Tribolium castaneum: one gene and its partner. The protein of the gene in region 1 binds, or shares a complex with, the protein of each later gene. Links are inferred from orthologs where the notes say so. Each region holds a gene or a part of one and is shown on either strand. Other genes may lie near its edges. The genes, in order: Ing5 and Eaf6.

Region 1 (3,726 bases):
AGACAAGACGAAAATGAAAGACGAGCCGAGTTTCGCAAATCTGTTGATTTGAACGGAGACGGTCGAGCCGATAGGAGAGAGCTTTTACATTACGTTGCACCGCAAAGTCCTAGACACAGTGAACACGAAGCTGAAGCCCTTCTAGCGTTGGCCGATGGGGATCATGACAATATGTTATCACTCGATGAAATACTCGCACATCCAGACCTATTTTTAAAATCGAAAATGGTTGACACCGGGCGAAGCTTTCACGATGAATTTTGAAAGAGTTAGTTCTTAATCAGTTAATCACGAATATAAGACTGTGCTTTTAAGCAGATGCAGACGCTATTTTAGCTAGACACTCAATCGTTTCTTCTAGTTAGACAAGAGATATTTTTCAACTCAAATAAAGAATAAATAATGCGAATTTCTTTCACCCATCTTTTTCCAAGACACTAAAAATAATTTAGCAAGGAAGAAACCCCAGTTGCTTAAATTACGTATATTTTCTTTTTTTTATTAGACAAGAAATATATAGTATTCTCTGGTTTGAGCGTCATGTCGTCTTAGCGCCAAAAAGTTTTAATTTATTTTAAATCCAACCATTCCATTAATTTTTTTATATTATTTTTTTGTTTGCTATATGTTAACTGTTATACAGTAATGAAACAACTGCGCTCCCTGGCGATTTTAGTGGAACTATCGAGGATGGGAACGTTTAATTCGTACGTCGTTCCATTTCCTAACCTTTAGATATCCGTATTCTCAACTCAAATAACGAAATATTTTTTTACTCATCGATTTTCAAGAAAGGGAAGATAGTTTACCAATAAATAAACAAACAACAAATGCTTAAATTACGTTTATTTCCTTAATAATTCACACGATATAAATTTAATAAAATAACAAATGCATTATTGCTATTTCGTAACAAAACCATGTTTTCAAACGGTTTAAACTTAAGGAATAAGTTAAAATAAAAAATTGTCTAATCTTTTAACGCATCGATGCATTATTTCTTCTTTCTGTCTTGTGTGCATTTAGGGCAGTACCATTTACCCTTGGGTTTAGTTGTCAAGCCCACACAAGCGAAATGAAACCATTCAATAGGGCACTGAAAATTATTAAAAATTAATTTGCACACAAAACGAATTTGATTTCTTACATCTGGGTTATCACAACCGATCATTTCTCCGTATGATACTTGATGACAAAGGCAATATGTTGGTTCGTTTGGATCGACAGGCATATCCAGAACGTCGCTCGGATGTGCGATTCCAGCTAAGCCTGGCAGTACAGAGACTGAATCAGTGGCTAAAATAAAATTATTACAAACACTGTCTGTAAACGAAGGAAATATGGATTTATGCGTCATGTAAACACGGAGGCCTATAATGGCATTTCAGTTGATTTATTATTGTATGTTAGGCCTCCGTATTGTGAGATATAAAGGCAATGAGATGATACGAACCCTCACCTAGGGCAGCTTTGGCGCCACTGCCTGTAGTACTGCCACTATTTCCAGTAGAACCGGCCCCCTTTTGCTTCTTCTTCTTTGTGCCCCGAACTGTTCCCGTCGAGTCTTCTTCACTTGAATTACCAGGACGTTTCTTCTTCTCCGTTTTACCATCTTTGGTTTTTTTCCTACCTTCTGGAATAATTACAGTAACTATACATTTCACTTAGCAATTCTCTTACTCTTGCCAACTGAGGGCTCATCCTGGTTGCGGGAATTCAGAGCTTTGTCTTGAATTTCAGACTCAAACCTCGCTAAATCATTGTCTAACCTCCTAATGTGTTTATCAACTAGTTCATAGGTTTGAATTGCCAACTGGACTTTATCGTCACCATATTCCTATAAAAGGTAACAGTTTATGAATAAACTAACTAAACTCTCGCGTTACTTTTGCTTTGTTGAATAACGATTGGATTTTAAACAGTTGTTCCTTCTTCTCCTCTGGACTAATGGTTTTCTGATTTCTCAAAAAATTGTCGGATAGAGAGTCAATATTTTGCATTAAACCTTGCGCCCGGGAATCTAAATCCCGCATTAAAGTGAAATTTCTTTGCAACTCGATTGGTAAATGTTCCAAGCCTGAAAGTTTTACAATTACGTGTCTCTTGAACGCGTTATTTACACTTACTGTCCAGGTAATGCTCCAAATACAAGGCAGACGTCATGTTAGCACTTAATACTCTTCAAAACTTTCAAATTCGTAAGAAAAATCCTATTATTTGGCGCTAATAATAACAACACATTACAAAAACGACGCTGACAGCTGTCAGATTTGACAACGGCGTTCCAGCGTCGCCACATTTCACTATGTTCCAGAAAATTTAAAAAATCAAAATTATCCAAACAAAAGGACAAAATTACCGAACACTTACTTCAATTTCTTCAATTCACCCATAAATAACAAAAACAATTTATATAACTGGAGAAATGCTGATTTATTTTTTTGAACGTCCCCACGTGGCAACCTTGTTCACTTTTTTTGCTGCGTTATGGGAACGGCGCGTTATGGAAATTGTCTCTCCAGAATCGTTATTTATGCAATCTACTTACAGGATGGTTAAACTGATTGACGAACCACCCGTTGCTTGAAGAAAACGGTTTACATCGTGTGGTTGAATGTGGTGTTTCTCTTACATATTTAACTTTTTTTAGTGATTTATTACTACAGTTTCTCCACATATTCAAAGACTAATACGAAAACAGTAAATACACGTTGTTTTAATTGACAAAAACCCCAAAAACGATAGACAATTCGCAACACTTTCCCTTGTATAGATGGTTGCCTCCAAATAATTTTCAAAATTTTAAACTGAAATTTGATACAGGATCACAAAAATGTAGAGGAAAAATATGTAAAAACCTTTTTAATTTCCTCTGCAATAGCGAAATTATTTTTGCTCTGAAACTTGGAAAACTTCAAAATCAATTTTGGACAATGATTATTTGATCTATCCAAAAATGTAAAAATCTTTTTTTGTGCTCCTCCACACACATTTTGGTTTTAAATTATTATAAAACTGATAAAACTTTGTTAAAATTTTAAACTAAATGATAGACAATCCACAACACTTTCCTTTGTATAGGTGATTGCCTACAAACAACTTCCAAAAATTGCAAATTTAAAACTGGATTTTGGAGCAGAATCATAAGAATGTAAAGACCTTGACTTTTTGTAATCCTAATACACATTTTGGTGTATGGCACGTGCCCCAAATATTAAGCTCCCGCCCCGCCCACAGACAGGGTGTTTCACATGATTTTACGACGCCATCGCCTGTAAAATGCCTCCAAGAACACGAACTCGATTATAAATTTAAAAAAAATTAGAGTCTTTTCTAGTTTGTTCACTGTGATAATACAAACTGTCCTTACTTCCTCACTTAAGGATATTTTTCGTAACTTATGAAAGCGTTAAAATAGCAAAAAAAAAACAATAAGGGTTGTATTTTATTTAAACCAAACGATTAAAGACAAAATTATTTGGATAACAGTCGTAAATAATTGTAAACGGAATGAAAAAGTCAAGGTTACATCCGCGAGTTCGTTTACCTCTTCAAAGATTACTCATGATGAAACTCTGCGGTCGTGTGTTTGTTATGCACTATTTTTCCTGCACTCTCACAAAAATGAGTCGAAATTTATAAGAAAAAATGTCTCGATCGCGCCTATTTCCAAAACTTTTTATTGTTGCCCTAATCTCGCATTCATACAGTTCTGAGGAAAACAAT
Region 2 (4,256 bases), about 5.6 Mb from region 1:
CACTTGGAATGCATGGTCATGGTACGCGAATTGAGGACAACATAAGTAGGTTTTTTGTGGAATGGATTAAAGTGCCTCATTGTTCTCTTAATTTTGTGGTAATTAATTAGTGGGATTATATGAATAAGAACATCCTGGAAAAGTACTTGATGCACCAACAAGCGATTAATCATTGCACCAATTTTTCCGTTCATTGTTCTTGATTCGTTAAAAAAAGTAAAATATTCCAAAATTGCACAGTTGATTGCCTAATCTCAGACAAATAATACAGGATGTTTCACATAATTTTACGCGACCTGCGCCTCTAAAATGCCACCTACAACACATATTCCGATATACGAACTCGATTACAAATTTTGAAAAACTGGATTGTTTTTTCTTGTTTGTTCACTCCTTCAAAAAATTACGTTTTTAGTCAATTAGTGATTAAGATAAACAGATTACTGTCACGGGTTTCCACAAAATAAATAATCAAATGTGAATTTTTTGTATCTAGTGTTTTGTGACTCTTGAATATTTGGGTGCGTATGTATACATTTGGCGCAGGCCTCGTAAAGTTATGTGAGACACCCTGTATAATTATAATTACTATGGTTATCTAAACAATCAACGGAAAAATAAATTAAATTGAAAGAATTCTTACGATAAATCCATTCCAAAGTAATTCTCTAGATAAATATTTCGCTTCAAAATGCCTTGGAGCAGTTTTGGTTGAGTACTCTTGGTTCAAACCCAAACACCTTTCTATCAATAACGGTTTAACCCCACGTCGTAGAAATATGGACATATTGATAAAATTCAATAAAACTAAAACCATGTGTATCTTAAACATAAACGTGTTAACCTTATGCGAGGGCTTCCAGAACTCGAGACGATGTTTAACGTAATCAAAACAGTTCCCAAACAAGTAAAGAATTTTCTTGAAATTCGACATGTTGCTGTACTTTATTGATAAAAGTTGTTGCCCAAAAGTGCTCTCATTGCGACAGACTGAATTTTTCAGAAGCGCTAAACGCACAATTAGGCCCAACTCAGGTTCAATGGGGGCTATATAACCAGGCTAAAATTACACTTTCAGGCAACCAAACCTTAACAAGGGGGCACTTACGGGTAAGAAACGGCTAGTCTCGTGAAGAATTCGCATAAGGGCTTTGTAGATTTCATTATCAAGGAAAATTGCGTTCATTTGGGTGACTCTCAGTAACTTATCGTTGGACATTTTGCACAAGTTTTAGACAAATTGAGCGTTTGGAATGTTGATTTATTGCAACTATTTGTATTTTTGGCACTATTTGTTGTTTTTTAATTATTTCATAATGATCATAACCTCAGAATTTGTGGAACTTTTCGGGTTGTTATGTTGGCAGCGACGTCACGGGTGACGTATTTGACATTTGGCGAAACGTCAAGTTGTGAGGTGTTTTGTTGGAAATAAACAATTTTTAGTGTAATTACTTGAGGCACTTAGCATAAAACAACGACTTTACAAGTGTAACGTTTCCTTTTATCGTTTTGTGATAATAAGAACAATATGTCGGCCAAAAACAATGTTTCGGTGGATGCCCGCCAAGAGTTAGCAGAACTTGTTAAAAGAAAAGCAGAAATTGCGGTAAGAGTTACTTTATAAATGTTGAAGCTTTGTATTAAGAAATGTTTTTCTGTTTGGCTTAAATTCGCGGTCTTTAACCAATTATAGGAGACGTTAGCAAATCTCGAGCGCCAAATTTACGCGTTTGAAGGTTCCTATTTAGAAGACACTCAGTTGTATGGAAATATAATTCGAGGCTGGGATCGGTATTTATCGAGTAACAAAACAACAAACTCTAAGGCTGATAAAAGAAATAGGAAATTTAAAGAAGCCGAACGTCTGTTTTCTAAATCGTCCATAACCTCAATGGCTGTGAGTTGGGACGAGTTTTGTGTATTTTTTTTGTATTTTAATGAACGTTTTACAGGCGGTTAGTGGAATTGTTGACCAAAATCAGGAGAAAAGTAAGAATAGTTATGAAATAAAAAATCATTCATACGTCTAGTTTTTTTTGTATTCGTTTTGTAGCTTTTTTGTAGTGTTTGTGGTAGTTTTGCTGTGAACTTTCTTCTAGATAGATGTTTTCTCTAGTTTGGTCACTGCCTCTTATATGCACTGGAAAAATGAGAGACATTCCAATAGCTCTGTAAATGTTTTACTCTAAAATTATTCAAATTTTGCAAGCAATGAAACAAAATATTACAATAATTTAGAGTTTATTTTCATTGCTTACAACTCCCACAGGGAGTAAATTGGGAGGCATATTGAACATTTTACATTTAGTTTTACTTATTTATTTGTTTTGTTGTTAGTTGTGTCATAAACCCTACAAAAACAATTCACCAACAGTAAAACTTCTATAATCCGAACGAATTCTATTGCAGCAGGTTCTTCGGATTATCGAATTAACTTTTTTCTCTTACTTTAATTGAATAAAAAAAAATAAGTATTTTTATTTAAAAAATTTCATAGGGACATATACCGAGTAGAACAAACAAATATTTTTTTTACTTATTTATTTTATTGTTATTATTTATCATAAACCTCTAATAAATTCGGACTGATATTTTTTGAATTAACTATTCTCTTATTATTAAAACGAATAAAAAGAAACATTTTTTTTAACTTAGAGTGATCCTGTTAAGAGAATTGTAATTTTATATAAAAACTGTTGTTTGCATTGCAACACTTCGTTCAACAGAAAGTTAATTGACAGGTATTTTATTATTACTAATATTATTATTATCACAAAAGATCATAGAGGAGTCCCTGTCGGGACTATTTTGCTTAAAATTAAAATAAAAATAGTGGTGGTAAATACGGTATTTCAATTCCACCCAAAAAGGTTGTCAGTTCTTGATTTAAATCGCAAGATGTTAGGTGCATTTTTTATGACCATTTTATGTAAAACGAACACTAGGACAATCAAATGTTTATATTTTTATTTATATTTCTATTGTTTAGTTTTTCATAAACCATGCCAAAATAATATACAGTAAAATTTTTATAATGCGCACTAATTACTATTGCAAGAGGTTTTTAGAATTACCAAATTAACTTTTTCCTCTTAATTAAAATGATTAAATAAGCAAAAGTAAGTATTTGTATTAAAAGAAAAACAAATATACCTAGTGAGCCTGTTAAAAGCATGTTTCAATTTTATATGTATAACAGGCAGTTACGTTTAGAGACATTTTGAACATATTATTTAAAATTTAAATTTGATTAAAAAAATCAAGTTTCTATTTTTTAATTTTAGTTGTTTTAATGTTATTGTTTGTTTTATCATAAACTATATAAAAATACACTAAAACCTATTATAATTCGAAATACTTACTATTGCAAGAGGTTCTCCAATCGGATGATCGAATTACATTTTTTGTCTTCATTAAAATGAAATAAACAAAATACTCGTAAGTATTTTTATTAAAAAAACAATCAGAGAATTACATATTTTAATCACTATACAAAAATGTTGTAAACGTTGTTCATCTGGAAGTAAATTGAAAGACATTTTGAACATTTTGAGGAACAACGAATAAAAATATTTTTTACTTCTTTAATTGTATATTTTATCGTTAATTATGTCTGCAAGAACATTACACAGTAAAACCATTTTAGTCAGAATTACTATTACAAGGGGTTTTTCTATGTAACTACAGTAGCGAGGGGTGCTTCTTTTAGTGAGTTTTTCTCAATATTTCAGAAACCATTACAGATAATATTACAATATTTGATACAGTTAATAATCTTTATATTCCCAATCGAATTCGAGAATCTAATGTAATAAGAGCTGTCAGGTTGGCATTATCATAAATAGTATTTTTTTTTAATTAAGGTTGGTGTAATTTTTTACCTAGAAAATTCAATTTCCAAATTTTTCAAGTTGTCTCCAATTTACAAGACGTACAACAACACATTTAGTTATTTTAGACCACCTTTAGAGTAACGAATTAACGATTAACACTAACGTCCAATTTTCAAAAATGTCAAATCTGGTGTTCAAACTGTCAAATACAGAATACAGCCAGTTTCTAAAGTGGTTGAACATGAACTTTTAGGGTGTTACAGTCTTTATCAGAATTTTGACACTGACAGTTGATTATACAAAAAAATTAACTATAGAAATTTTGAGCAGGGGCGTTCCAAACTGGAGGGAAGTAGGGTAAAAAATATCCTAACTATGTGGATTTAGTTTTGTAACACATGGGCTTTAAATAAATTCTGT

Evidence for each region.
Region 2: Ing5 (region 1) and Eaf6 share a complex: the UniProt entries of both Drosophila melanogaster proteins name them as parts of the enok complex. The link is inferred for Tribolium castaneum from reciprocal best matches to the Drosophila melanogaster genes Ing5 and Eaf6.

What each region holds. Positions count from the first base shown.
Region 1 is NC_087398.1:9,636,854-9,640,579, reverse strand, and holds Ing5 (inhibitor of growth protein 5), read right to left. Parts: upstream 2,453-3,726; 5' UTR 2,164-2,452; coding exon 2,127-2,163; intron 2,078-2,126; coding exon 1,887-2,077; intron 1,838-1,886; coding exon 1,681-1,837; intron 1,634-1,680; coding exon 1,454-1,633; intron 1,297-1,453; coding exon 1,148-1,296; intron 1,097-1,147; coding exon 995-1,096; 3' UTR 830-994; downstream 1-829. Other genes in the region: myd (45 kDa calcium-binding protein), read left to right, coding at 1-264; cuticlin-1, read left to right, coding at 3,649-3,726. UniProt on the Drosophila melanogaster protein: Component of the Enok complex which has a histone H3 acetyltransferase activity.
Region 2 is NC_087398.1:15,238,957-15,243,212, forward strand, and holds the start of Eaf6 (chromatin modification-related protein MEAF6), read left to right. Parts: upstream 1-1,390; 5' UTR 1,391-1,531; coding exon 1,532-1,609; intron 1,610-1,696; coding exon 1,697-1,900; intron 1,901-1,955; coding exon 1,956-1,992; intron 1,993-4,256. Other genes in the region: peroxisome biogenesis factor 2, read right to left, coding at 1-134, 644-1,060, 1,109-1,219. UniProt on the Drosophila melanogaster protein: Component of the Enok complex which has a histone H3 acetyltransferase activity. Might be involved in transcriptional activation of selected genes.